7 linked regions of the Nothobranchius furzeri genome follow. The protein of the gene in region 5 purifies or fractionates together with the protein of the main gene of each other region. This does not show direct contact. Links are inferred from orthologs where the notes say so. Each region holds a gene or a part of one and is shown on either strand. Other genes may lie near its edges.

Evidence for each region.
Region 1: the proteins of ikbkg (region 5) and tnfrsf1a purify together in Homo sapiens (affinity purification with western blotting; 4 studies listed by BioGRID, with this or other methods). This does not show direct contact. The link is inferred for Nothobranchius furzeri from reciprocal best matches to the Homo sapiens genes IKBKG and TNFRSF1A.
Region 2: the proteins of ikbkg (region 5) and usp10 purify together in Homo sapiens (affinity purification with western blotting; 3 studies listed by BioGRID and IntAct, with this or other methods). This does not show direct contact. The link is inferred for Nothobranchius furzeri from reciprocal best matches to the Homo sapiens genes IKBKG and USP10.
Region 3: the proteins of ikbkg (region 5) and sqstm1 purify together in Homo sapiens (affinity purification with western blotting; 3 studies listed by BioGRID and IntAct, with this or other methods). This does not show direct contact. The link is inferred for Nothobranchius furzeri from reciprocal best matches to the Homo sapiens genes IKBKG and SQSTM1.
Region 4: the proteins of ikbkg (region 5) and malt1 purify together in Homo sapiens (affinity purification with western blotting; 4 studies listed by BioGRID and IntAct, with this or other methods). This does not show direct contact. The link is inferred for Nothobranchius furzeri from reciprocal best matches to the Homo sapiens genes IKBKG and MALT1.
Region 6: the proteins of ikbkg (region 5) and map3k7 purify together in Homo sapiens (affinity purification with western blotting; 8 studies listed by BioGRID and IntAct, with this or other methods). This does not show direct contact. The link is inferred for Nothobranchius furzeri from reciprocal best matches to the Homo sapiens genes IKBKG and MAP3K7.
Region 7: the proteins of ikbkg (region 5) and atm purify together in Homo sapiens (affinity purification with western blotting; 7 studies listed by BioGRID and IntAct, with this or other methods). This does not show direct contact. The link is inferred for Nothobranchius furzeri from reciprocal best matches to the Homo sapiens genes IKBKG and ATM.

The regions. Positions count from the first base shown.
Region 1 is NC_091745.1:73,838,418-73,842,341, reverse strand, and holds part of tnfrsf1a (tumor necrosis factor receptor superfamily member 1A), read right to left. Parts: intron 3,891-3,924; coding exon 3,735-3,890; intron 3,663-3,734; coding exon 3,584-3,662; intron 2,985-3,583; coding exon 2,920-2,984; intron 454-2,919; coding exon 278-453; intron 191-277; coding exon 70-190; intron 1-69.
Region 2 is NC_091749.1:59,302,654-59,307,253, forward strand, and holds the start of usp10 (ubiquitin carboxyl-terminal hydrolase 10), read right to left. Parts: upstream 3,157-4,600; 5' UTR 3,057-3,156; coding exon 2,877-3,056; intron 2,396-2,876; exon of another isoform or gene 2,263-2,395; intron 1-2,262. UniProt on the Homo sapiens protein: Hydrolase that can remove conjugated ubiquitin from target proteins such as p53/TP53, RPS2/us5, RPS3/us3, RPS10/eS10, BECN1, SNX3 and CFTR.
Region 3 is NC_091741.1:64,353,350-64,357,783, reverse strand, and holds sqstm1 (sequestosome-1), read right to left. Parts: upstream 3,051-4,434; 5' UTR 2,820-3,050; coding exon 2,657-2,819; intron 2,495-2,656; coding exon 2,399-2,494; intron 2,328-2,398; coding exon 2,053-2,327; intron 1,936-2,052; coding exon 1,782-1,935; intron 1,673-1,781; coding exon 1,604-1,672; intron 931-1,603; coding exon 776-930; intron 700-775; coding exon 501-699; intron 417-500; coding exon 256-416; 3' UTR 123-255; downstream 1-122. Other genes in the region: mrnip (MRN complex-interacting protein), read left to right, coding at 1-49. UniProt on the Homo sapiens protein: Molecular adapter required for selective macroautophagy (aggrephagy) by acting as a bridge between polyubiquitinated proteins and autophagosomes.
Region 4 is NC_091757.1:57,789,835-57,793,523, forward strand, and holds the end of malt1 (mucosa-associated lymphoid tissue lymphoma translocation protein 1), read right to left. Parts: intron 3,647-3,689; coding exon 3,519-3,646; intron 3,136-3,518; coding exon 2,992-3,135; intron 1,990-2,991; coding exon 1,832-1,989; intron 1,728-1,831; coding exon 1,602-1,727; intron 1,334-1,601; coding exon 860-1,333; 3' UTR 671-859; downstream 1-670. UniProt on the Homo sapiens protein: Protease that enhances BCL10-induced activation: acts via formation of CBM complexes that channel adaptive and innate immune signaling downstream of CARD domain-containing proteins (CARD9, CARD11 and CARD14) to activate NF-kappa-B and MAP kinase p38 pathways which stimulate expression of genes encoding pro-inflammatory cytokines and chemokines.
Region 5 is NC_091755.1:44,541,782-44,546,162, forward strand, and holds the start of ikbkg (NF-kappa-B essential modulator), read left to right. Parts: upstream 1-1,494; 5' UTR 1,495-1,519; intron 1,520-1,692; exon of another isoform or gene 1,693-2,017; intron 2,018-3,352; 5' UTR 3,353-3,354; coding exon 3,355-3,493; intron 3,494-4,381. Other genes in the region: tmed4 (transmembrane emp24 domain-containing protein 4), read right to left, coding at 291-416, 490-590, 1,217-1,406. UniProt on the Homo sapiens protein: Regulatory subunit of the IKK core complex which phosphorylates inhibitors of NF-kappa-B thus leading to the dissociation of the inhibitor/NF-kappa-B complex and ultimately the degradation of the inhibitor.
Region 6 is NC_091743.1:91,287,160-91,291,083, forward strand, and holds part of map3k7 (mitogen-activated protein kinase kinase kinase 7), read left to right. Parts: intron 1-1,715; coding exon 1,716-1,781; intron 1,782-1,855; coding exon 1,856-1,901; intron 1,902-3,652; coding exon 3,653-3,791; intron 3,792-3,924. UniProt on the Homo sapiens protein: Serine/threonine kinase which acts as an essential component of the MAP kinase signal transduction pathway. Plays an important role in the cascades of cellular responses evoked by changes in the environment.
Region 7 is NC_091753.1:29,148,950-29,152,873, forward strand, and holds part of atm (serine-protein kinase ATM), read right to left. Parts: intron 3,851-3,924; coding exon 3,479-3,850; intron 3,398-3,478; coding exon 3,206-3,397; intron 3,131-3,205; coding exon 3,029-3,130; intron 2,955-3,028; coding exon 2,717-2,954; intron 2,645-2,716; coding exon 2,513-2,644; intron 2,419-2,512; coding exon 2,293-2,418; intron 2,221-2,292; coding exon 2,131-2,220; intron 2,053-2,130; coding exon 1,863-2,052; intron 1,565-1,862; coding exon 1,371-1,564; intron 1,300-1,370; coding exon 1,220-1,299; intron 1,125-1,219; coding exon 969-1,124; intron 559-968; coding exon 483-558; intron 346-482; coding exon 221-345; intron 143-220; coding exon 31-142; intron 1-30.

The sequences.
Region 1 (3,924 bases), on a different chromosome or scaffold from region 5:
AGAGCACGGTCAGAGTTCACATTGTGGGTTTCTGCATGTCGAAGTCAGAGCAGACTGCTATCAACTCACTCTTAATCTCTAGGGGGACGCAGTCAGGCAGCTTGGACAGCTCCAGCTCACCCACTGGGTTTTGAGCGGCTGCTTTCAAACAGATGCTCTGCGGAGGTCCCTCAGCGTAGATCAGGAGATGCTTGGAGACGAGAGTAGAAAACACATGACTGACCGCAAGCGTTCATCAGACCGATCAAGAGAACCTCAGACTGTTGGGTGAAGATACCTTTCCGGATTCCACGGAAACTTCAGAAGTCTGGGAGGACAGAGTCGGCATCTTCTTCTTGGTGAACCGTTTTGTAGCCAAGAAGGTGACCAGAACCACCAACGCCAGCAAGACTAGCACCACAACTACTGATCCAGCAACTAGATTTATTAGCAGGTGATTTTTGGGCTCAGGGCCTGGATGGAAAAACAAAATAAATGCATATTATAAAACAGAACATTACAAACACACTGCAAAAGTTTTAAAGCACCAATAACCAAACCTGAATGTGATCCTTTAAAATGTTCTTGGCCAGTCTTCAGGCTTTCTAAACGTTGAATCGTGTTTTGTTCCTGACCGTGACGGTTTATTTTGTGGTCTATGCTTATAACATAAGGGAATTGCACGAGCGGAGGGCAAAAGAAGAAGTGTCAGGTCTAAAGAATAAATCTATCGGAGGGAAAAAGAATAAAAAAATCCAGCAAAGTTCCAAAAACAGGACCTGAAAATTCATAATCCTCAAGCAGATTTTCAGGTTTTCAGCCAATATCTCTTAGAAAACTAGCTTGACAATGCTAAGATATTATTTTATGTGTCGCCTCAGGTTTTTGCCATGCACTCAGCTAAAGAATTGGAAACATGTTCCCTCATTTTCACAAGACTAAAGTAACAAAGAGCTTAAACGTACAATTTAAAACAGGATCTGTGCCGAGCTGATTTGTGTTGACACAACGATGAATCATCATCAGGTTCAGGAGACTGTCTCAGTGATTCATAGGTTAGTGTTAAGTGTTTTGCTCTCTTGAATGTCTCATTCACCCATTATTGCAATAAGTGTGCAGTGGACCTTAGTATAAATAAACGCCTTGTCAATCATTCTCTGTGGAACAAAAGCTCTGGCGCAACTGTTTCAGGAAGTAGAGAGGGGCAGAAAACGGCAGGATTTGGAGCCTTCCTCATTAATATTCACAATATTCAGACGTCTCGCCTCTGATTGGCTAACAGCAAAGAGAGTCTTTCACTGCCTCCATTTGCTCTGATGTTTTACAAATAAACAAGCCTGAAGGAGTTTTGCCATGCTGGGGAAAAGCTAATGCTATCAGTTAGCTTCTACTAGTTGAGATGTGCTCTGCTTTTTCATGGCTGCAAAAAAAAAAATAATCTGCCTTCCGCGTCACGAGCCAAGATGGGTGAGCCGATTAATGCAACTACAGAGATCCGTCCAATCCATTATTTATAAAATTAAAAACACTAAAATTCTGTGATCTGGTGGACTACAATATTTGAAAATGTATGTATAATGCAAACACAGGGTACACACCTGCAGGTTTAATCAACAGATTTACAAAAAGACATAGCAAATATCATTTAAAAGGACATGAATTATTTAATATACCTAGACATAGGATACTCATAAAGGAACATTGTGTGCCCATATATGGAGTTAAATGTGGAATAAATTAAATACTGAAATCAAGAATGCAAAAACAATATTGACTTTCAAAAAAGAGATAAAAAAATGAAATTATTAACTTATATAGACCTGTTACATAAACGCGTGAGGGGAGGGGGGTTGGGGGGGGGGGATGAAAGAAAAAAAATAAATAGAGGGAAAAGGAAACAAGTGTATGTATGCATATGTGTATATATGTATGTATATAGGTATATAACTTTATGCTTCTTTCTGTGTAACTTGTTTTCTCTTTTTTTTTTTCAATTCATGGGTTGAGGTTGTGTCGGCCAACCAGTCCAGAAACGATATTGTTCAAATTTTTTAAGAATCATATGATAGTTTCATTTGTATTAATGTTATTTTAGTTTAAAGTGGCAGGTAACATATGTTTTTCTTCTTTCTGTCCCCTTTTTCATTTTGGCTGTTAGCAATTTAGTTTTGTATTTTTCTTTTATTGTCAATAAATGAAAATAAAGTTGAAAAATAAAAATTATTGGGTGATAGATCTGTGTGGCTTTTTCTGACCCGATGCAAGGCATCAATGCTAACCAGTGCACCACCGTGTAGCCGTTTTCAACTTGTAAAAAATGAAATATAATCAGTCACTGTGAGTTTACCGTGCACGCTGATAGGCTCCTACACCTATCTCCTGCATTAGCTTCTGATGGTGAATTGCTAGAATTTGAAAATCCTGACTGATCTATGTCACACTGTCACTTGACATTCATGGACTCACCCATCTTGACTCGTGACGGAAAGGGTTTTGTGGTTTTAACATCCAGGAAACAGTAGAGAATGTCTCAACTAGCAGAAGCTAACCTTTAGCATTAGCAACTCCACCACCCAGCAGAACTCCTTGAGGCTTGTGTTATTTGTGGAGATAAAACATCAGCGTTGCAGAACAGAGTCAGTGGTAGAGTCCCATTACGGTTATCCAATCAGAGGGGAGATGTCTGAATATCAGGAAATAAGACTCCAAATCCTGCCGTGTTCTGCTCACCTCCGCTCTGGCTAACTTCCAGTTCTGAAACAGGAGCGCTAGAGCTTTTTTTTTTCCCCACAGATTTCGACGCACAAGGCATTCATTTATTCTAGAGACCACTGCAAATGTGGTTCAAAACCGAGTGAACTTGGTCTTGAAAGAATAATGGAAAACTCAAACGGTGAACACGGAAATATGGCAAGAGAAGAAACAAGTGCGTCATGTCACCTGGTTGGCGCTCACCTTCTGTCGCCACTTCCAACATGCAGTGTTGTGAGCAGCCTGTGGTACAACTGTGGAGGATAAACAGGATGTTTCATTGCACCAAGGAGGAAGTAGCATGTCTTCAGAGGAAGTGATTAACGCAAAGGCTGACATGTATTTTTTTTAACTCCAGCTTTCTGTAGCTCTGGTTTCAAAGTTCGACTACACAGAAAGTTGAGCTGAACCAGTCACTGTCCCAGTAACTCAGAAAGATTCTTATGTTTATGCAAACCAGGATGTAAACATGACAGAAATATAGGAAGTTTGAGCTGCAAGTTTTTGTGCTTCCTTGTTTGATTTGTGTCAAACATCTTCGACTATAAGAACCAAAAATAAAAACACTCAACGCAGCATTTTAGGAGAAGATAAGAGAGGTCATTATACGCTAACAGACTTTTAGTAGACGCGAATAAGAAAGGTTTTTTTTAGCGAGTCTCAAGACGTGTGTGTCATAACTTCTCTCCTGTATTGCTAACAAATGGAAAGCTTGAACAAAGTCGGAAGTGAGCTGCAAGTTTCATTTCTACAAACCAACTTCCTTAATTAAAATGTTACAAAAAAACCTTCCCAAACTCGAAGATGGAAACAAAACGAGAACCAAGGACTCGTCGGACAGCGATGCACTCACTTCCTGCAAGGTTCACACTTGTTTCTGACTCTGTAGAAGTTTTCCTTACAGCCACACACGGTGTCTCTCTCTCGAGTACCTGTGAAAACAAAACTGGCTTTACCACGGAGTGGTTGTTTAATTTATTACAGAAGAATCTTTAAAGACTCACATGCATGCTCCTCCGTTTCATCTGGTTTGCATCTCGAACACTTGAGGCACTCAACCGTTTCACTGTCAATGTGGTTTTTGTAATAGCCGACCTTACAGCCACAGATGGTGTTTTGAGCTGCTCTACAAGGTGAAACCTCAACTTCATTTCGTGCTGCTGCAGAAAAGTTGACAAAATTAAAGCTTTTACA
Region 2 (4,600 bases), on a different chromosome or scaffold from region 5:
CTGCATGCATGCAGTTTGTTGTTTTGCTGCTAACACAGTAGCAGGTGCAGCTGCACGTTTGCAATAAAAATGTTATGTTGTAATAGAATTCATGCATTAGTTTTTGTTTGCTTTGAACCCAGAGCAGACATCACACGCCAGACGACACCAACACTGCATACTTTAGTATTTGTTCATTTATCGCAAGTAATATCGATATCGCAATATTAAGCACCGTTATCGAATATCGCAGGTTTTCCTAATATCGTGCAGCCCTAGTACACCCGCAAGTTCCGGTAAAATTACCATGAAGTCCCGGTAGTGGAAACACACCTAATGAACTCACAGGCCGCGCTGTTAATCCTTTCAGAGCAATAAATAGCCGGCTGTGAAAAGGGAAGGCACAGAGAAAAGAAAGTGCAGTTCAAGCATATGTAACTCTTTGCAAACAAGGCCCCCCCATTAGGGCTCACATTGCTGAAACAGCACAACAAGTGACAAACAGCCGGCTTTAATCCCAGCAGCCTCGGAACAACTCGGTCACAACAGAAAGAATGTCCCTTTGCATCTTTTTATGAGCATACAACAGATTACAACAAATTGGACATCTGTATAATTTCAGCTATTGCACGATGACACAACACACTTGACCATTTCATGAAAACTCTGAGATACACACGGGTATAAAAGATGCCAAGATGCCAGCAGATGTATTTGTTTCAGGCATATTCATGTGATTTATGAGAAACTATTATGGTATTAAATAATCTTCAGAAATTTTCTACATAATTAAACGACTAAACCAATTTGCTTCTCTGCAATATTTCTGTTGACAAACCTTTAATATTTATGAAATCTACACGCTGGGAATCAAACACAAATTCTGAGGAAAGTTTGTGTACTCTGACAGAAACAGATCCCTATGTCAACATGAGAAGCTGTAGAACACTGCTAAGTGTGCATGCACCTGCAGGGACATGTCATTACTTTAAAATACACATTAGAAGACAGGAAGGATATATACTTTTAATTGTTTTAATATAAATAAGCAATACAACTATATTTCTTAGCAGTGCAACAACTATTAAAAGTGGTATTTAAGTAGAAATAACCCAAAATGCAATAATTACTACCTGTTCACCATAAAAAATGTTTAATTCTGAAAGCCTGAAAATCAAATAAATCAAACATAACTTGTTTCTGTCTTTCAGCCTTTAGATTTGAATGACCATGCAAAAAATAAGCAGAACCAAATCTGCCATTATCAATAGAAACGGGTAAAAAGTATAACTGACAAGATTTTCCAGCATGACCTGTTTCCTAACCTTTATCTCTTCACTATAGAAGAAGTATGACCTGCTTTGACTGATGTTTGTATTTGGTAACCTATAAGTGTGTGCACACATTTTGTTATTCAGTTCACTTTAACAGCAGCTGCTTCATTCAAGAATTTAAATGTGAACAACAATTAAACAGGATTTTTTAAATCTAATAATGGTTGAAATTTGCTCAATTTAAATGGAGGGGAATCAATATTTCTCAGTAAATATTGACCATTTACCCCATGCCTAAAAGTTGACAAATACTCTTGTGATAAGAGAAATCAAATATTTCAGGGCTGATACCTGATCATTTCACAACGTAAATGTACTTTTGTATAAAAGGGGGAAAAAAGGCTGAAACTGAATTTAATTTATTTTATTTTTATTTTTTTGGTTCTCGTAAACCACTGCTTTGCTGAACAGTCAGCCAACAGAAATGCTCAGTTTGGGGCAGGAAAAGGTGTGAAAACATAATTTCCAGTGATACGTCGCTTCCTGTAATAAATATACATGTTTTGTTGAACATTTAATTCAAACGAACGGCTTATGACGGGTTCCTAATTGATGTGCTTTCGTTTAAATAAAACACTAACTTTGAGTCAAACACAACAAACCCCGGACTTACTTGCAAGTTACTGCATGCACACCTCAAAACGGGCCTTCCCACATGAAGGTTAGCCTCCACGGAATTAAAACCCGAATCTGCTTCCTACAGACTAACTTCTATCACACAGCGAGAAGAGCTAGTTTGCGTTTGCATACGCGAATTGCCCATAGCTAATTTTATCGTGTGTCTACTTACGTTTGCATAAAATGTCAAAATACGAATTAAGGCCCACGCTGTCGCACAGTATTCAGCTAACCAGCAAGCGAAATGACAGCAATGCACACCACCTGTGCAAAACTGCTAGCCTGCTAACAGCTAAATAAGCTCGAAAATGCATCTCATCTTTGGCTTTACTTCTGCTAGCATACGCCTACATTTGCTTGCGGAAAAATATCCGCGAATCGGAACTTGCACCTGATATTGGACGTGTATTCAGTAGTATTGATTTAAGAAAACAAAGTCGAGAAGGCCCGTGTCAGCAGAGCAGGTGGGCCGTGCAAACACGCAGCAGTTTCCTTTCCTGTGACTTCTCTCTTAACAAATAATTCATGACAATCGTAGAATCTGGTACCAAGCAATCCCTGTCGTTTCATTATGCGGGCTGTAGAACCGATTAGATGAAAAAATGCTTTCGTAGCTTTTAAAAATAGCAGTAAGCAGTACTGCTGGCTCATTTGAATGGAGGATCGCACGGCCTGTTAGCAATGTTACCATGCTGGTTGTGTTTCATTGGGAGGAGGGGGGGTGGATGGGGGGCATTAGCAAGCACTTTTCAGCACTACGAATTTCAATGACACGATCAAATCGCTGTTGTAAATGAAAACACACAACTTAGCATAACACGAATATGGTATGATAATTATTTGGTGAACATGTTTTTGCAAAAGAGAGGTGATCGTAAAGCTTTAAATAACGGTTAGATGAATTCCACATTCAGTTGTTTTACTGGCTAATGCTAGCCGAGCTACCTGGTTGCTGTAAGAAGCCATGCTCCTGGTGAGATTTTCTCCCCTCCGCTGACCAGATGAAAACTTCCCCGGGAAGGTGTTACGGGTTTGTAATAACTGCAAACAGTGCTCTACTTTGACGTCATTGTCAGTGGTCCATCGATGTATTTTCAGTTGAAAACTGTGATCCGTGTAATGCATCCGCACTTCATGGTGCTCGACTTGCCATATTCTTCGCTAGCTAGCCAAACCAGCGCGCGGTCGACGAGTAGCAGCGACGGCTCGTGGAGTGATGGTAAATACTTCCGTTAACGGTTAGCTTGTGCCTTCACAATAAAAACATTGGGAATGTCGTAAAGTTGTAATATTTTGGGCAAATTTATTTAAAAAAATTACCAAAAAATGGCATATTACAAAAATTGCAATTATTATTTACCTTTAACATTTCAGTCTTTATCTCTGAAGAAATATGTTTTTTTTATGTTTTCACAAACATGTTTCATAAGAGTTTCATATAAACTTGTTGCATTTAGTTTTACTTTGTACAATTTTTTTAATTATCAATGAAAAATAAATGAATAAAAGTAATTGTTACAACAGTGGGACTTATGTGGTATCAGCTTAGTAAAATTCGCCTTTTATTATTTCAGTCAATGTGATTCGAACTCCAGCAGAGCTTTGATAAGTTTCATTAAGTTTGTCTGTAGAGTTGTGTACTTGACTCAGGTGAAATTCATTTCAGCAGTGCCCGCCTCATCTTTAACATTTTGATTTAATTGTGGGTTTATTCTTTGCAAAGGTCCCTGTCATTTGTGTAATTCCTCAAAGGTCCATCTTGGGGCCAGTTCTATTTACATTATGGGTCCTGTATCCTATCTTTCACATTTTTTAATCATCATTTAGAAAATATCCTGATCTAAATGCCCTTTAAGAAAAGAATAGAGAATAAATTAAATTTCTTTGAAGAAATGATATCTGCAATAAACTGTCAAATAATTTGAAATTAAAATTTTTAATGTTAAAAATAAAAAGCTTCACCCCTACAACATAAACCCTTCCTATGAAAGTAAATAAATATAACTAATAAACATACACGTTTGTAATTTTGTAAGTAGCCTATAAAGCATTTTATTTTTTAATGAGACCTTGAAACAAACTGCCTCCTTTGGCTGTTAATTAAATCAGAATTAAACGAATAATGTGATACAGGACAATTTTTGTAGCTTTAATGTTAAATAGGTTAAAATAACAGACTATGGACATTGTCTGAAGGGTTCCACAACTAGACAATAGGTCCTATTTATTTACTTGTTCATTTAGTTGTTTATTTCAGCAGTGAACATTTTGTTTAATACAACAGGTAGACTATATCAGCTGTTAAAACTCTCGTATACAAAATGAAGAAAACAAATTTCACACGAATATCTCCAATCTGTTATTATTTCATATACTTTTATTATGAAAAGTCTATTTTCCTCGGCGGAAATGCTTCGGATGAAACGGGTAAATTCACTTCGCTTGAGCGCTGACCTCGTGGTCGTGTGTCGTCCGGGTTGTGGCATGAATTGCCAAATTTGGTGTTCTAGACATTAGTTTAACCGAAAACAAAAACTTTTATAACCGTTTTCAGTTTGATCTAAATCTTTGCGAAGAGGTTTCCATTTTTGTCCAAAACAGCAAAATAACAGCAGTTTTTTGTTTGGGAGTCCACACGCACTAAATAAATGGTGCAGAAACATTTTTTC
Region 3 (4,434 bases), on a different chromosome or scaffold from region 5:
TGAGAGTGGTGAAGACTTCAGCTGTGATGATGACTTCCTTAAGTTTTAAATGTGTTTTGTGCCGTTTACATCTGAGCTGCTCGTTTAGGATTGTTATGAGTCGATTCGTAGACATTTCAGAGTCATGTTTTTAAAATGCGTTTATTGATTAGAAACAAATCAAAAGTTTAATAAAAGGTAAACACAGAAAAGTGATTAGTTATTAGGTGTGGACAGGTAATTGTCAGACTAAAAACAGAAAGTAGTCAAATGATGTCACTGGCGTGGGTGGGACTGCTTGGCGTACTGGATGGCATCGAGTGCAGCTCCAATCTCGAAGTTTTTAGCCTGAAGGAGCCGAGTCAACCAGCCGCCTTCATCTGTAAAACCCATCGAGAGCATTGACGCCAGCGACTCCACCAGGCGGGGGTCAGCCTCTGTGGGGGACAAAGGGGAGGGGCTTAATAGGGACAGGACTACCAAAAAAAAAAAAAAACTTGAACCGCAGAATCTGAACTCACCTTGAGGCAGGTGTGGATAAAGAGCTGCCTCCCGCAGACCTGTGGGTCCCTCCTCGGTCCCTGACAGAGGAGCTGGACCTGGACCTGGACTTGGACTTGGGCCTGAGCCCTGGCCCTCCAGCGACTGAAGCTCACCTGTAGATGGATCAACCTCTTTAGAGCTGAGATGAGTCCACTCATCATCTTCATCTCGGCCCACCTGCAGATTTGTGTATTTGGTCAGTAATTGTCATTAATTAGACTGATCTATTAGTTTTTGTCTGAGGAAGACTGACCTTTGGCCCCTGCTTTGCTCCACCTTCATTGCTGGCTCCACTTTCGCCAGCTCCCACATCCATCTGCACTTCACCCTGCTCTTCCTCACCTTGAGTAGGTGAAGTCACCTTCATCCTTTGCCCCTCATGCTCCACGTCGATGTCCACATCAATACCTGCACATGCACAGATAAAGTCCCTACTTCATCAGGATTCTGTTGTCAGGAAGTTTAATAGAAACGGTTAAATGTGATATTCTGATCTTTCTGAAGGGATGGTCAATAGGTCATATATCTACAGTACAGACACTGCCTGCAGGTGACATCACCGAAGGTGAAACAAAGTGCTCCTCTGAACAGAGGCTAACTAGTCAGCTTGGTAATGAAATAATACATCGTTTCTGGTGTTTAAAAACAACCCATAGTGACGCGTTAGCACGCTATATTAGCAGTTTTTAAAGCCCTACAATTTTACATGAGATTGTTTCTTTAGTTTATGCTGTTTGTTTTATTCTAATAACGTTTGAAATACTATGCTACTGCTACTGCCTGTGTGCCATTGGGTTTTCACTCTGCCCAAGTGGAGCAGCCAATTAGGAAAAGCAGGACATTGAGGTTTTTCTTCTGGCTAATCCTGGAAATTAGCTTCTAATGTCACAGATCCAGCTAGCCAAAAGTAATGCTCTGGTCAGAGGACTTCCTATTCCTAGAAACAGTAGTTTGGAATCTAAATTGACAGAACAGCACTTTAAAATGACTTTAAATGTCTGAATGACACTCGTGTGCGTATTAGGATGAGTTCCCTCTTGTTTATTGCACATTAAAAACATCTCCAGGTAAAACAACTCACCTAGTGGGCTCAGCATGGCAGCCACGCCCTCGCCAATGTTCTTCAAATAGTTCACGCTGACCTGAGAAGCTACAGAGGTCAGAGGTCAGTCTCTGTTATTGGACAATGGCTCTGAGTTGGACTCCTTTTGACTGATGACCAGTTTGTACATAAACACAGATCTGTTCACATCACCTACCAGAGGAGGTGCTGCAGTCAGATGCTGAGCTGGAGGGAATGGTTTGCTCCTGCTTCTGGTTCTGGTCCTGGTTTTGGGTCTGTGCCTGGGCCATGTGCTGGTTCCACGTGCAGTGTTTCATCTTTTTCATCCATTTTCCTCGAGGAAACCACTGCTAAATAAAATTTTAAGAAAACCACCGATTTATCACATTTTAATCAGGAAATGTGACTTGTTCTGACACCTGCCAGTGGTGACCTGAGCTCTGACACCTGTCATCCAGGTTACTCACCTGTAGAGGGTGCCACACGGGCAGCAGAGGGTGCTCAGTGTGGGTCCCTCGAGCCTGGCAGGTGGAGCAAAGGTCGTAGTCTGGACACACTGAACACTTGAAGCGCGTTCCGACCACAGGGCCCTCACAGCCGTCACAGGTGACGTTGGGATGGACGGCAGGGGGCGGGCCCGGGTGAGGAGGTGGGGCATGAGGAGGTCCATGTTGATGAGGGAGCCCGAAAGCGAAAGGGGGGAATGCATGAAGAGGGAAGTCCCGGCGGTGCTCCTTCTTTTCTGCAAGAGTTCAACAAAACTTTAGTCAGATGGAACCTTACAAAGAAATAACAGGAAGACGACTTGTTTACCTTTAATGAAGAGGCGAAAGGTGGCGTCCTTGACAAAACCCAGTCCCATCATCAGCTCATCATCAGAGGAGAAGGCCACCAGGTCTCCATCTTCATCTAAAACACCATAACTCAAACATCAAGTCCAAGCACAGATCAGGTGGCACCAAACATCATTCATCAGAATATTAAAAACAATCCAGAACCAGAAAGACACGCAGCAGAAATCCAGTCAGTGTTTGGGTTGAAACAGAACCAGCTCTGATATAAGCGCCTCACCCTTGTAGAATAGGTTGAAGTTGCTCAGGTTGGAGAAAGCTGCCGCCACCTTCCTGCTCAGGTACTCGAAGCTGCAAGAGACGTCCTGGTCCACCGCAAACCTGCGGATCTCCTTCACCTGCTCGTCCTTTCCCAGCAAGTAGGCTTTCACCGTCACCGACATTACGAACTCAATCGAACCAAACTCCGAACAGAGACAGAAAAACAACCAAACGGAGAACCAAACTCTAGAACTTTGTGACGCAGCGGTAAATTTCAGCCTCTTTTATGTTTACTTCCGCATTCTATGTCATCGTCTTAAGATGACGTAAAGACGCACACAGCCTCCCATTGGTCCTCATTGAGCTCCGCTAATGAGGGACCATTGCCGTCTAGAAACATCTTTTTACACAGCACGGTGAGGGACTTTCCAACTAGTCACGTGAGCAGGTGTTAGTTGGGAAAGCCGCTTAGTCATTGTGACGTGGCACATTGTTTTATTTGTTAGAAAAGTGATTGATTTGTAGTTTATTAATAAAAAAATATGAAAATCCTAAATGAGTGGATCCAGCTGAGAACGCAACTGCAGGTCTAGAAATCCAGCAGAGAAACATAAACATGCATGTTTGTGTGTGTTTTAACTGAGCTTTGGTTTCAACCCCGACATGCTTTTTCTGTTAATTATCTGCTGAAGATAACCCCAGTCCGTAATTACTACAACAGAGTCAAGAACCCATACACACTTTTACAGAATTAATCTACAGCTAAAACGAAAGCAATCTGCAAATCCTGCTCTAATCAGTCCAGATTCAAGCTGATTTTCTGCTGTCCAGTTGTAAACAATTAGATGGGATATGAAATGTAAAACATAAGTCAAACTCTCAGTATTCCTCAAACACCTGAGTCATCCTTGCATCACTCTTTTCAAATGTCTCATGAGCTTCTGTTTTGATCAAATGTTTGTTTGCATCTGTGATGTCACCCAGCCGCTGCAGCCAATCAGCAGCAGCATGAGTCATATGACTTGCTGACTCAGAATCACAAGATGAAGCTGAAAACCACCCAAACCTCTCATTTAAAGCCTTTAAAGGTCAATGTAGTGAAAGTCACTGCATTTGAAACTGTTATTCAGTTTTGTCAGCTTGACTAAAAACAATTTATAGAATCAAAGATTTTTAATGGAAGAATTAGCTAAATATTTTCTGACTACATTGTATAAAGAGCTCTGATTACATAATCAGGTTTCAACAACCTTAAGGTAAAATTAATTTAACATTTAATTTCAATTATTTAATTGTAATCATTTGTTTTTATTGCTTTGGTCCAATGATAAACATGCATGCTTGGATTTCTTTTTGTTCTTAAAACAAAGTTAAACAATCCCAGAATGCATCAGTGCTCTCAGCATCCTGGAGCTAGAGTGAGGTTCTTCCAGTGAGACTGATTAATAGCCAAATGAATCCACTTTTAAACCAGGTAACTGAATGAATTACAGACATTGAGACAAATATTTATTTAAACCAGTTAACACCTTGCACCAGAATCAGGTCCATAAGGTTTTACATCTCCAATCAGTCAAAGTTGCTTCTATAATAGAAACCAGCTGATTGGATCAATCCAAAGCAATTCTCTATCCTGGGCAGCACCAGGCTATTGATTGATCGATCCTTTATTTTGGTTGTCATGTTTACAGAGAAGATCTTCAAACAACTAAGATACATCACGATAACGTCATGAATTACAACCAAAAAAGGAATAGGCAGAAGCAATGCTTATTTTGGCCTATTCTCCACCTACAG
Region 4 (3,689 bases), on a different chromosome or scaffold from region 5:
ATTCATGTTCAGCTTTGAAATGAAGAACTTTGCAGAACAATACAGTTAAAATACACATAAACCTCTAACTCATCTGTGTGCTTTTTTCTTTAGCAAAGACCAGCTGGTCTTCTAGTTTTGTTCACCTAACCCTAACCCATCTGAAAACAACCCTTGAAGTACAGATTGGTGAGTTTGAATGAATGGTGCCAACTGGAATCTTTGAAATTAGACCAACTATTTTCCACATGAGCTGTAATTTAAACCCCAGAAAGTCTGAGTCTGGGTGAAAACGGTTATCTTTGTAGCATAAATGACAAAAGAATTAATTTTGCTTTCTCATAAATTGTGATATTTCATATCGTGTAGCTTTTGTTCAGTGAAGCATTTTGTGTGTTTTCTCCGTGAAAGGTGCAATAAAAATAATTTACTTATTTGATTACAAATGGAATTTTCAGATTTGTACATCAGAGTAATTCATATAAAACAGATTTATGCTTTGTCCCATCCTGCACTTCCTGAGATACAAAGTTGGATGTAATCTGTTAAATGGCCACTAGATGTCGCCAAACTCTTTATACATAATTTCGTGGCATTTTTTTGCAATAAATCTACATTTTTTAAAAATCCATGTCCAGCAGTTTTAAACTTAATGTACCATACTTTATCCCAAGTAAAATGGAAGCTGAGAAAAAATTACAACAGCAGTTTTATTTTACTAAAATTAATCTCTCCAAAAATATATTGATAAAAAAACCTTCAACAAACAGCTTAAGACAAATAATGCTTAATAAATCGAGAGTACAACATGTTTTTCCATCCTGTGACGTGAAGAGCAGCAGCATTTTTACAAATATTTAAGAGGTTTAAAGCTCATGTTTCACTGGGGCTGAAGCTGCAGGCTTTTGATGAACACAGTCTGCAGCTCAGTGATGTCCTCAGTCGCTTCTATTGGGATGCTGAGTTTCAGTTCGGGCTCACACGCTCCATCGTAGCCATATTGGCTAAAGTGGTCATAGCGGGAAAACGCACAGCCCCCCACAGCACCCTGAGGATGCTCATAGATGTCCAAGTGGTGCTGTGGGGAGAGGCGGTTCAAGGCCTGGCCCTGGTGTGACCCGTGGTAAAGGAGATGCTGGTGGTGTTCAGGCCCCGGGCTGTGACATGGGCTTTGGGAAGGGCTGTGGGGCATCGGGCAGGTCTGCAGGCAGCTGTTCCGACGCATGGCCCGGTGGAGGTCCAGTCTAGCGATCAGTGGCTTTCCTATGTTGACACTTCTGGACCAGTATACGGGATGATCGTCATCCATGGCTGCAAAAGTGCCCTGAAGGCACACGGTGAAAACCAGCTCCTCCTGTTACATTATATTAGGAGAGAAAATAGTTTTCAGTAAGAGAAACAACCCAGATGCTTCCAGAGCTAAAAGAGAACCTTGGAGCAAAGGAGGATTGTAACAAACGATTAAAAAATGGGTTTCTGGTGTTGTTGTTGTGGAAAAAAGAACTGTTATGAACTATAAGCATCTTTATCAGACTGCAGAATATCAAACCCTAATGCATACTGTTGTAGTTTTTAATAAGTAAGCCTTAGTGTCACAATTGATCAGTCTATGTTCTTTGTACCCGGAGCTTCTGCAGCGAGCTGAGTCTGGTGTACAGACAGTGCTGTGGCAGACTGCTGGACAGCAGGTAGATCCCCGTCTCCTCTGGAGTCTCTCTGTTCATCTCTTTAGGATCCACATCTAGATCCTGAAAACAAGCAGGGACACTTTTCAACCTCAAAACCTAATCGATCTTTAACGTTTACAAAAACCAAGAAATCACAACTGTCAGATGAAAATGTGCGACATCACCAGTGAGAAGTCCGTGACATGAGCCTGGCAGAAAGACATGTCCTCTGGCTTCTTAATGATGTGAGTGTAAATGACGAGAACGTTGGAGAACTCCGCAGCGAAGCCCAGCTTGATCTGAGCCCCGCAGTCAAAATGAAGACTCATCGTCTCAGGAAGTTCTGGAACAACAAGCAAACACTTTGGGAACCAGGTTTTAGTTGCTAAAAACAAATCATGTTTAAAGAAAATATTTTATTTATTTGTAATGAAAATTATCCATAATTAATACTAAAAACCAAAACCACGTAAAATATCAAATCTGAGAATCTACCAAGAAGCCACGCAAATAAATCGATTTTTAAACTCGTTTCCCCCAAAAAATTAACAAGAAAACTTCAAGTTTTCATTTTCCGGGATTCCAAAGGCTACTTTTTATTGGGAAATAAAAACGCATAAACATCATTATAGTTCAAGTCAAACTGTATTCTTTTAGTGGAGCTAATACAGCCACATATCAAGCCGAGTTTCAATAAAGGAGACGAGTTTTTCCTTCAGAAAAATGACTTTACTGCAAAAAAGCAACATTTAAAGTTTTAAATGTCAACATTTAATTTTAAAGTTACTTTGAAATGGAATTAATACATTTTTAAATCTTCAACTTAATACATGATATAAACCGAATAAAGATGTTTAAAAATAAATAAAATACCTAACACAGGAAGGAGAAAATCTCAATAGTTTTGAGAAAAATTGCTTTCACAAAAATAAAAAAATACGCTTTTGAAGGAATAATTTAGATTTAGGCTGTTGAGTGAATTCAACACTAAAAACTTAGATTTAGTTTTTAATATGAATCACTGACACGTTTATCTCCTCAGACTCCTGAAAAGCTGCAAATACGGTATCTTTAGTTTTGTGCGACTGGTTGGCTGAAACCCAAGAGTAGCTGAGTCATGGTTTACAGATTTGTTTAGGCAACTATTTCTAAGAATATGATGTTAATCTAACAAGCTTCATGCAACAGTTGAGCTGTTGAAGGAAACTCCCATGGCCGTGTGTCTTTCCTGTAAAGATCGATAACTGCCAACATCTGGCTGAGCGAGACGTGTTCAACCTCCGGACGCTGAGAACTGAAGATTAGCATGTTTTATGTCATGCTGTGTGTTTGCTAGTGGGCGTACCGTGAGCTTTGGCCCACAGCCGGCTGTGAGCGAGATCGGCGCTGTCGCCGGGCAGAATAGGATCGGTCAGCGCTCTCCGCTCTGCCAGACTGCTGCGGATCTCCAGAGCCTGTTTACCCTTGGTGGCATCAAACTGGCCCATATCTGGAGACGAGAAAACCGTGAATTGATATTATTAATAAGCACCTGAATAAAAGCCGCAACCTGCTTACTTTTCAAATGGATAAAAAGTTGTAAATAATCTGGGCCACACTCGTCTACAAGCCACAGGTGTCCACTTTTATATGTCCAGGTAACGTGCACAAATACGTAGAGTAAATGGGTTTTTCCAACATGTGCCTGTGACATGGCTGGTTAAAAATAAATAAATAAATAAATAAATACATACAGGTACAATAGCCTGCCACCTCCATCTTCCCACTCAGAAACAAACCATCCTCAGTCTCCCTTTTGCTGTCGCTGTCAGTATCCTTTTATAAGGAGGAATGGGACTGTTGCAGTACAGTAAAGTACTAATAATACTTCACCTTCAGCAACTCTGTCCAGCAGCACAGTGATCTTCTCATCCTCCATCAGCCGCTTCTTTAAAAACTTGACAAACACACCGTTGGTGAAACCCGTGGAGCTCAGCTCAAAGGCCTCAGCATCTTGGCACCTAAACAAAACAGACAAATGCGTCACGTTACGATTCTGAAATC
Region 5 (4,381 bases):
TGATGGAAAGCGCTACACAAATAAAAGCTGATGCTTGAAAACCCAAACTTCAGCGGTTTAGGAGGAGCAACCAAACCAAAATATTCCTTCTTTCTTAAGGAAAATCTAACTGAACACACACATTTCCAGCTGCTGCTGATGTTTTTGTCCCTGCTTCTATTACTCGTTCACTTTTTTGACAGGTTTATGTGTCACTTCTACACTGAAACAATATTTACTTTGGTTTTTTTAACCCAACCTGTGGAAAAGTGAAACCGTTAAAAGTCAAGCCATGGTCCTGGTCTCCGTACCAGCTTTCCTCCTGCAAACAGAGCCATCTTTGTGGAGTTGGAGTGCAAACAGATCTGATGCTCTCCAGGAGTGTGAGAGGTGAAGGTGAAGCGTCCGTCAGAGCCGTACTGACGAGAGAGGATGATCTGGAACGTGGAGGAGACACCTTCAGACTTACACCTCTGCTCTGAACCTCCAGACCTTCCTGTCTGGCTTTACCTTCGTGTCTGGATCCTTGATCTCTACATGCATGCCAAGGCCGGGGGTGGATGGGAGGAAGGAAGTGGTTTGTTTGTCCCACAGCTGAGTCCGGTACTTTCCTGTCACACACACACACACACACACACACACACACACACACACACACACACACACACACACACACACACACACACACACACACACACACACACGATCATCCACAAATTGGATGCCAGTAATAAACCAGCTTAACATCTGCTGTCCTGTGTTAGGACGGAATATTGGACACATGGATGTAATAATAGTATTTATCTCATAAAATCATCCCAGCAATGAATGAAATATTTAATAAACATTCACATTTATACCCCATCTCCTCTTTGCATTTAAAAGATTGTGTATTCATTTTGATATTTGACAGATCTTTTGTTTAGGTTTGATGGAAATACCTTCGTAAACAGGAAAATGTTTATTTTATTGATAATAAACAACAAGCTAAAGATCAATGGCCAAAAGTTGAATGTTTCCCTTAAATGATCTGAATTTTCAGATATTTAAACGTTATTTCTCCTCAGTGGTGAACAACCCGCAGCTGAAGCCTCCAGAATTTCCTGTCTGACTCGAGTCTCTAATAATAATAATAATAATAATAATAATAAACAACTATTGGTGTCATCTGCTGCATCTTTAAACAACCAGCTGTTAGCAAGACGGCTAGTTAGCTGCGTTAAGCTAACCGGCTCACCGATCACCATCGTCTCGTCTGGAATTTCTTCAATGAAGCATTTTTTCTCCGTCTCTCCGATGTGGAAATAAAGCGCGCCGCTGGGGTAAATCCAGGCCACCAGAAGAGAAACCGCTGCGGCAGAGATGGGGAGCATCTTCACCTCCTTCACGTTAGCGGACATCAAAATGCTGCAGCGCACTGACGTCATCTTCCACTACGGAACAAGGAAGGGGCTTTCCTGAGAACGGAGTGTTTACACCCTGGGTTAATACTGACAGGAGAGTTTTCCTCTGCAGCGCTTAAAGATACGATGTGCCACTGGTATTATTTAAATTCACAGCCATTTCGATTTGATCACACACTTGTAATTTGTCAACTTTTTTATTGTTCATTTGTGTTAATTAAACGTCTTAAAATAAACGACACGTTTTTCGATGTTCGAGTCACGGGTGTTCTGCCTACAAGGCTAAACTGAGGGTGATATATCACGATTTTTCCACGCTAATAACAGTCGAAAAGCTGACAGCTTACCTTTGGTTTGCCTCTGATTTACCTCTGGTAGTCTTAAACTCACGAAGGAAAGGATTCAAAACTGGACACATGCTTTAGGAAGGCCACATGATCCGTTGATGTAGGTCCGTGTTTATGTGAAACCAAAGGCGTCCGTTTGCCCAGCCGTTGTTGTGCTATATTAGCTTACTGAGCTAATTAGCTGTATCTCAGCTGTTTGAGTCAGATTGCTCTTTTAAACTCGGTGAAGGGAGTAGTTTGTGAGTCTGAGACTGGATAATTGTTGTTTACGACATAAAATTTAAAAAGGTAAGACAAGTTTTGTGTCTGTTAGCTGTGTGTTAGCTATGTTGTCTAAACAGTATTTAACGTGAGCTTTGCTGAGGTTATCGTGATGTTCTTCATAGCAGACACCTGATCTTACTTTTATGACAATGACAAGGCTGAGGTCCCATAAGAAGAGGTTGATGACCACCTGTTCTCAGGTGTAACTGTTCAGAAGGGCTTCTGGCACCTCGCCAATGAGCCGTGACACAAACCGGTCATATTAAACACAGTTAATTCACATTTAAACTGAAAGTGAAAGTTTCACGTTTCCAGATCCCCAACGGGGCTGAAACGTGTCCAGTCCCCCTAGACGTCATGCTCAGGTCTTACTTACACCTGAAATGTTCACTTGTTCCATGGTGGCTTTTAGGATCGTTTTTCATTTTATTTTTCTTTTAATCACATATTTATGTACTTCTTATTTTAAAATCAAACAGCACAGCCACGATTTGAGCCTGCTGTCTCTCAAATAATAACAATTTTAATTGAACAAGGACAATATTCATACAAGGGAAAAATATACATGCAGGAGATCCTTGTGACTTCCTGTTTTTTCATCTTTATGAGCCATTTGGTATGTTATAGTAATGTGAATTTAACAATAAGAACATGGTGATAACTAGAATTAGAACCATTTGTATTTCTGATATTTTTGTGCATTTGAAAGCGATCGGCTGTAGACTCAGATAATTGCTTGATTGTTCTTTTTTCTAATTTACTTCTGACTTCAATGTGTAGATTATTGGAAACCATATTTATAAGTAAGGAAGTAGTTAGCGAACCAGGGGAAACTTTTTTCTTACTAGAGCTACAGAAGCAGCAAAAGTTGCTGTTTTGTCTGTTGTTGCATTAGATGACAATCGGAGCGACCACAATAACATAAAAAAAGGAATAGAATAGACTTTATTAATCCCACAGTGGTGAGATTCACTCACTACAGGTGTGACGTCATAAAGCAGTAAAGAAGTGACTGAACTCTGCAGTTTCTGGGATGATTTTCTGTTGGTGGTGAAACAAACTGTTCCTGCCTCTGCTGGTTTGAACTGACCTGCAGTGTTGATGGTAACAGGTTTTTTAGTCTTTCTTACCAACGTACACAATATGTTTTAATTTGACTAACAAAAAAGTTTCTCCAATGCCCGTTTAAATAAATGCCACGAAGGCTGGATTTTAGACGTTATTAAAAAATGAGCTAAAAGTGTAACAAGTCTCCAAAGGAAACCAGGAAACAGGTTCAGGAACCGCCAGAGTCTGAGTTCTTCATATGAAGAAGTGAATGGATTAGATCTCTGTAATTCCCAGCCTTTGCTTCTGCAGGAATGGTGCAGCCGCAGCCTGATGGTCCGATGCAGTGGGACATGTCAGGAGAGGACTGCGGGGGGGTCCTCAGGGTCCCACCAGAGTTCGCTGGTAATGAAGTGGTGACCAGATTGTTGTGTGACAACCAGCAGCTTCGAGGTACCTAAAAACACACGACGGTCACGCTTGTGTGTATTACCAGATGCTCAGCGGGGCTTTTAGGTTTCCGTGTGTCTGATTTAGCATTTTCAGAAGTCGTTTAAGTTTAGAGTTATCGAGGTAAAAGAACAAAGTAAATTCAAACAGTAATTTCAGCCTTTACTGTAACGGTGATTGGATGCAGGAGCGGTGTCCACGACAGGCTGAGTTTATCAGGATCAACACATGCTGCTTTTATGCAGTTCCAGACTTTCCTAGATGACAATCCAATCCTTGAGTTTTTCAGTCTGCTTCTTGTTGTCGGCACAGCTCTGAATCTGCTCTTCTAGCTGTCCGTAGCAACATTTCTTTAGCTGCTGATGCTAAATCGGCAGCGGTTTTGGTTCTACTAGCCCTCTCAGCAGCCTCGACACAATCAACCACCCACTTCCTATCAGAATAGTATGTTGGCATTTGAGGTAGGAGTCAGTGAATCCTGCCTTGCTCAGCTTCAGAGGGTTCTGAGTGCTGCAGCTCGCCTTTTAAGTGGCAATCAAAGGTTTTCCCTCATTTTAGCCTCCCTGCACTGGCTGCTTGTTCATTTTAGGATTGATTTTAAAATGATTTTATTTGCTTTTAAGGGCTTAAATGGCCCGGCCCCTCCCTATCTGTCTGAGCTACTGCATCGCTACACGCCCGCTCGTTCGCTCAGGTCAGCTGATCACAGGAGTAGCTACTCCTCAACACGGATCAGTCACCCACACATTCACACACTGGTGGTGATGAGCTACGATGTAGCCACAGCTGCCCTGGGGCGCACTGACAGAGGTGAGGCTGCCGAGCACAGGCGCCACCGGTTCCTCCGACCACCACCAGCAGGCAAGGGGGGTTTAGTGTCTTGCCCAAGGA
Region 6 (3,924 bases), on a different chromosome or scaffold from region 5:
GCCGTAAAGATTTAAAAGCCCATAAAAGCACCTTGTACTGGATTCAAAAACAAGCAGGTAGCCAGTGCAGTGAGGCCAGGACAGGAGTAACGTGCACCGTCATTTTCGTCCCATCGATAAGCCGTGCAGCAGCATCCTGCACCAACTGAAGACGCCAGAGGTGGGATTGTGAAACACCAAACTCTCAGTGTGTTCACATGCGCGTCAGAAAACTGAACTTTTGCCCTAAGTAGACTGACGTTGTTGATTTTTAAACTCATGTAAACTTGTAAGTCTCGTTGAACGTGAACTGGTTCTAGTCGTCCTGAAGCACCCAGATAATGTAGTGGGAGCCCAACTTCATCTGTGTGTAAGCGCCTCCATCGAGCTGATGACGGTAACTTTCAGACTTGACGAGACGCAGAAGAGGTCTTCTGATATCATCGCCACAAAGTCGCACGTGTAACAGCATCACAGATCAGCTGTGCCGCAGCGTTGTTGTCCATTCGGCCATTGTTCATATCCTGTTTTAACTCTGTCTGCTTCACTCCCACCAGCGTTTGTTTGCTATTTGTGTTGCTATAAGTTAACCGGAAGAACGCCTACACAATAGGGCGCATGTCGCCTCCAACTGTACCGGAACGGTACTAACGTCTTTACGGGGGTTGGTTTTCTAACGTACAGGTAAACTAGGAGAAAGGCTCCCAGTTTATTTTAGATCCATTCAGATGTGCGTGTAAACACGCTGAGTGGTACATCAGAGGGGTTTCCAGCAGGAACGGCCTGTTTAAGGTCAAAGGTCAGACGTTCTCTTTCAGGATGCTCTGCCAGAGCATGGTTCCAGCAGGTCCTTTGTGTTCTTCCTCACTTGACTCATGACCTCTGACCTTAACATTAGCCAAGTGACACCTGTAGGTAGGATGGGCCCAACATCTATAAATCGTGATATAATTTAAAGCACGTGCGGTAACACGACGTATTCTTTTCATTAGTTTATTTGTCCAAATAACCTTTCTGAACAATCTCTCACACCAGATGAGCGGCACCAGAACAAGTGCTGATGAAAAGGACAGAATGCCACTTAAAAACCGTTTAACGTGACAAAACGTCTCAAATGACTTTTATGTTCTTAAGGTTCTTTTTTCAAACTTTTCATCACAAATATTCTCATGACGTGAATAAAGATGAAGATATTTTAATGAAAAATGTAAAAACACAAATAAAATTTCTTTCTGATTAATTTAATAATTTTCAGGTTTTCTTTTGCTCATAGAAGTTTAGTGTTAGTCGTTAATAACTGCAGCTAAAACGATGCTTTGCAGCAGTTCTTTTTTGTTTGTAAAAGAGAACCCAAACCAGGTCCGTATAACCAACATAACTCCATCTTCCCAACGAGCACGCCTTCCTCCGTGCGCTGTGGCAAGCTGACACAGCATGATGATATTTACGCGCCGTCACTGTCGGACGGTAGAGTCAGCAGCTCTGCCCGCGGTTATTGTATCATATCGACCGGGTACACCATGCATCACTAGCTCTAAGGTGTTGTTGTTTTTGGTAGGCAGACATTCAGGTCCGTGAGCTCGCCCATGGAGGGTGTTTCATCGGTCTCTCACTCATTCACATCATGACTTTCATCAGAGTCAGAATGTTCCTGTTGGCTCGGTGCCGCTGGGAGGAGCCCTGCTGTTGTATCAGCAGTGAAAGTGTCACACTCATTTCATGCTTTTTCTTTGCAGCTGAGACAGCTTTCTCGTGTGAACCACCCAAACATCGTGAAGTTGTACGGCTCCTGTAAAAACCCGGTAAGAAGGGTGAAATGTTTTTGTTAGTTTCATAAAGTTTCAGAGGTTTATTCCTGGTTCTCTTCCACATTTAGGTCTGTCTTGTGATGGAATACGCAGAAGGAGGATCCTTGTACAATGGTGAGTCCAGATTCAGAACCAGAGAGCGGTTGTGTGTTCTAGGTGACCATGAGCACAGCCTGTCACACACATGAAGGCTGCCCCTAGCTGGTTAACATCTCTCTGCATCACCAGCAGTCCTTCTACCGATGTCTCACTCTCCTCTGATATACTGGTGCTACAGATGGAATATGGCTGCAGCTAGCATGCTGCTGCTCCGTCTCTCTCGTGTCTCTGCCTGTCGGAGGTCATCACATTCAATTCAATTCAAGTTTATTTATAAAGCGCCAAATCACGACAAGTCGTTTCAAGGGCCTTCACATAGTAAACATCCCAGTACAGGTCAGGTCATTAAGCCAATCAGTAACAAGTTTCCTATATAAGGAACCCAGCAGGTCGCATCGAGTCACTGACTAGTGTCAGAGTCTTTACAGCAATCCTCATACTAAGCAAGCATGCAGCGACAGTGGAGAGGAAAACTCCCTTTTAACAGGAAGAAACCTCCAGAGGATCCTGGCTCAGTATAAGCAGCCATCCTCCATCCATGTATGATGGAGCTTGATTATTAAGAGCTTTATATGTGAGAAGAAGGGTCTTAAAATCTATTCTGAATTTAACAGCTAGCCAATGTAGGGAAGCTAAGACAGGAGAGATATGATCTCTCTTTTTAATCCTCATCAGAACTCTAGCTGCAGCATTTTGGACAAGCTGAAGACTTTTAACTACATTCTGTGGACTTCCTGAGAGTAATGGATTACAGTAATCCAGTCTTGATGTAATAAATGCATGAACTAGTTTTTCAGCATCACTCCTGGAAAGGTTGCATCTAATCTAGGGCTGCAGCTATCGAATATTTTTGTAATCGAGTACTGTATCGAATCTTTTATCGATTAATCGAGTGCTCTAATACATGACCCTTTTGTGTTTGTAAACCAAAACTTCAGTACTTCAACTTTACTTCACAGTAAACAAATGCGAGCGGCTGCGGCCCAAACAGCACCAGAACCGCTCACGGCGCATGTGCAAACATGGCTCGCCAGCTGTTTCCCTATTAACACACGTCCGTTTTTATTTCTACACTTTTTTGTCTCACACTAACACGGATTGTCGAGAAAGCATGTTTGCCGTGGTTATGTCAAGTTATACTGATCACACAACATTTATTTACTTTCTTTTGTTTTCCTCTCATAAATACCCGTGTCCTCCTGCAGCGATCCCGAGGGACAACAGACGTCAATAACAACACAATAAAAAGTCTGACCTGTTTTGTAAAAAACGCTATTTTTAGCACATTTTTAGGTCCGACGTGTTGCTACCAGACGTACGGTGTGAGCTGAAACTGAGTGCTACAAATGAAAAAGTCGCACAGTGTCTGTAGAATATATAGCGGAACGTTTATGTTTACCCACACTGATGAGCTAAAAACCAAAGTGCACGTTATTTTATGAACTCTTACACTGCGGTCAGGTTAGCTGTGGCTGTAAATCACACGTTTCACTCTGGAACATTTGGAGTCAGGTCCAGCAGCTATTTTTCTGCTGGAGTCGGCGTGGAATGAGAAGTTGACCGCTGTGTAAAGGTTTATAAAGTACTGTTGTGTAAAATACTGTTTCAAAGCGGCTCCACGGAGAGACTCGGAGCAGCAGCAGAGCTTTGGAGTTGTGGGCCGTCCCTGGTGGTGCTGTAGAGACCTGCTGGGCCATGTTTGGTTTCCAGTCTTCCCGTTGTTTTGTGCTGCTGGTTTGTGTGTGATCGTGTTCTCTCGTCCACAGTGCTGCATGGTGCTGAACCCCTCCCCTATTACACTGCTTCCCATGCCATGAGCTGGTGCTTACAGTGTTCCCGGGGGGTGTCCTATCTCCATGGCATGAAACCAAAGGCTCTCATTCACAGGGACCTCAAGCCACCCAAGTATGCTCGTCTTCCTCACACCCACACTCCTACCACCCATTTCACAGCCAGCAGACTGATGTATTCCTCACAAGCGCTGCACTTACACTTCTCAGGTCATCATCGCTGGTTTTACAAACATGAGGGGCAGAGA
Region 7 (3,924 bases), on a different chromosome or scaffold from region 5:
GAAGTTGCAACATGATCCGCTGGACCCTACCGGGAACTTCATGCCCTCCTGAGCCTTCAGATAAATGTTCTCAAACGCTGCTTGTTGGAGTTTTAGTGGCAGCATCGTCTTCTTATCCTTCCGTCTCATATCCAGAAACAGTCTGAATATAGAGGAGGACGGGTACACGAGTGTTAATGTAAGAAAACTAGAACAATAAAAAAGAACTGGCTGAACCCACCTCTCCAGCGACACGGCCACCAGCATACGGACTCGGTGGTGGGCGTCTGCCAGGTGGGATGGAAGAGCAGAAGACACGGGGTCGTCTCCGAGAGTCAGGATGGCCCAGCTGCAGCACGGGTCAGCCTGAGCACGACAAAGCCGTGAAGGAACTCATCTTACCATGTAGGCCTCAATCAGTCTCTCTAGTCTTTTAGGATTTTTGTTTTGAGTTTTTTTTCTGTGATGCTGGAATAATTAGAAGCAAAGTAAAGTGAGTTTACCTCCAGCAAAGCAACCAGACACTGGACTAAAGCAGCTCTCACCAGGGCCACGCATTTCCCCGACTGGCTCAGGAGGCTGAAACAAAAAAAGTTATCGAGTGGAAGAGCTCAGAAATACTCACTCACTCACTCGCAGGGGAGTAACTTAAATATTTGTAATTAAATATTGGAATAGTAAATAAGTAATTACATAGTTTGTAAAAACATAAAAATAAAATAATTATTATATCAATAAAATGAAAATATATATATTTTTATACATATATATATATATATATATATACACATACACACACACACACACACACACATATATATAAATATATACATAAATATATATATATATACACATACATACACATATTTATATATACATATATTAAATATCTATAATATTTATATATTTTTATATATATTAATTTTTTTATTCATATGTAAAACTATATTTTTGAAAAGGTGTAAAATAAAAAAAACACATCCTCAGACCAGAAGCCAGAGACGACTTGAAGAACAGATCCCTGAACGTGTCTCATGTCCTCGGGCGTGTGACGTGTCCTCCCCAGACTCTTTATGGAAGGTAACAAACCGAGCAGGATGGCAGCACACACCTCCTGGTCTTGACGATACATCGAACACATGTCCCTGCAAGCAAAGCCACAAATACATCAAATTATCTATCAAAAACATCCTTTTTCGATTCTAGGACACTAGCGTGGACAGCAGGAACGTCTCCTTACGCCAGAGGACGGAGCAGTGAGTCAAATTCCTCTGGAGACAACGAATCCTCAGCAGGAAGCTCCTTCAGCAGGACGAGATACTACGGGACGGTGATACGTTAGCGCCTGCAGCTAACCTGTGACCTTCAACCCCAGGCTGGTTGCTACTCACCATGTGGAGGTGCAGGGCTTTGCTGAAGTCTATCTGCTCCAGCAGCAGCAGCAGCCTGCGGCGCACCTCCTGCGGTTTAAACAGCAGGCCATGGACGGGCCGAGCAGAACCACACTCACACAGGAACTCCAGGGCTGCGAGCAAAGCCAGGTCCTGCTGGGCCAGAAACTCCTCCGCTAGCAGGCTCTTAGCACCTGGTGTGTTCAGGAAGCAACAGAAAGCATGTTGAACACATCCAGAGTGCTGCACGGCACAACTTCACCAGTAAATCTAACAAATGCATGAATGAAAACAGGGATAAACCCCAGAGAATAAAGAACACAATTAGTGAGAGGAATAAACTCGTGAAATGCTGTTAAAACCCACAGGAAAAGGTCTTTACGTTTTAAACGTAGTTTAAGGAGATTCTCCACAGCTTTTGGAATCAGCAGGTGATCGGCCACACAAGCTTTAGAAACAAATGAACCAGGTGTGTTTCTGTGTTCCCGTCACCTGGGCCACATGAGGTGTCGGTGCCGTCTCCCTGGGGTCTGTGGGTCCCGTTGGTGCTGCTGTGGGAGTCCTCACCATCATCAAACAGGTCAAAGTCGCTCCCAGAGGGCTCGGCTCTGCTCGTTTCCCAGTCATCGTCCATGTGCTCGTCGTCATCGACAGAGCTGACTTTCCTCGGAGCGCTGCTCAACTTAAATGTGCAAAATAAAAAAAGGTTGTTTTTGTATTCGTCACGCAGCATCGTGAAGCCAGTGTAGATGAGACTCACCAGCAGTTTGCAGATTTCTGCCAGCTCACCCAGGAGGCTGGCGGGCAGGGTCAAAATAAACAAACCGGAGGAGATGGAACCGACGCCGTCCTGTTAGCAGAGATCCACGTATTCAGTCAGCTGAACTGTTAAACCACGACTCATCTTAACGGGTTTTTTTACCTTGAGTTTCCTGCTGCTATTCTGTCTGCAAAGCTTCATAACCGATCTCATTGTGGACATGATCCTCTCCTCGCTCATCTTCACTTTGATGCTGGAGACAAATCCGCTGAGGTCCTGGGCCAAGGCCTGGAAACACGAACACCCCAGAATATCAGCGGTCACACGAGCCTCCTCTGGATATGGCGGATCACCTGTGACTGATGACTTCTGGTGGGTGAACCTTTGCTTTGGAGAAGAGTTGTGAGCAGCAGGCCTCCTCCTTGCTCAGGACCCCGGTGGAGACGTAACCAGCCAGAACACCCGTCAGCTGGCTGCAGCAGCGCACCAGACACTGTGGGGGGCTGGACTCGGACTACAAGGGGAGGTTCAAATTAAGAATCGTTTTTTTTTCCTGTGAGGACGACGATTAGCAGTGTTCACTCACATCAGGAGAGTAGCAGTTAAGCAGACCATCCGCTACAGCGAGCAGAAGCTGCTCCAGCTGGTTCCAGAGGCCAGGAACAATGGCGAACCGGTTCTTGGCCGACGTCGTCTTCCCCAACTCGTCCTCAGCTTCTCTGGTCTCTGATGGCGACACGCTGAAGCTAAACTGGTGATAGAGTCTCTCAATCACCTCCAGGTCCTCTTTGGCACCAGAGGACACCCGTTCTTTAGAGGAGGAGCTAAACGAGTAGACGGTTATTTTGGGTGGGAAGACGACAACGCGAGGTGAAGCAAGACGGGTGTTTTTATTTACCTCTGAGCTCCGTCAGAACCCAGCAGAAACTTTAAACCTAACCTGGAGTCTTTGAGGGTCAGTGAGACCAAGATGTTCGATATCAGGTTGTGAGGAAAGTCTCTGTGAACGAGAACAGTGACTGTAAAAGTCAGTTCACCTCATTCAGTAAGAAGATCCTGAATCAGGAGTAAGAACCTGCAGATGATGGGGTGAGGTCTGCAGCTCTCCTCAGTCTCCTCGTTCTGGTCGCTCATCAGCAACCAGGCTATGAGCGTCTCCTTCACGCACCCATCAGCGCCTCCCACGCTGTCCCAGCTTGAGCCTGATGAGAGACGATTTGGGATTGGACACCTCAGGACAGCCTGTGCTAGGCAGAGAGCAGAACTCCTCCAAAATAAAACACAAAGCAGCAAAAGAAATTAGTGATGCAACCAAACGTCGGCTATTAGGGTTTTAATCAGGACTCACTGGGACGGTTTACACGCAGATGCACAGAAGAGTCTCCAGAACTCTCTGTCAATGTCGATCAGCCCGCAGTGAACAATGGAGGCCAGCAGGTCTAGGCTGAGGGCCTCGGTCTGGGGCGAGCTGACCCCGCGCAACGCCAGAGCCCAGATCCGGACCCAGAGCCTGGCCAGCTCGGCCCCGTGGGCCTGCGCCGTCTGTGGGTGTCGAGTCTGACAGTGAGCCACCTCCTTCAGGCAGCGCAGCACGTACAGACCCCTCTCCCCTCTCCGCTGCTCCGCCAGCAGCTGATACAGCCCCGACAGCAACGGGACCAGCTCCCGACTGGGAAGCGTGGACGGGTACTTGGAGGAGAGCACCGCTGTGATCTGCAGCCTGGAGGAAATGAACGCAGATTAATCACATCAAATAGTCCTGTCCGCTACTGTGCAAGAAGTGGTTTTAGTTTC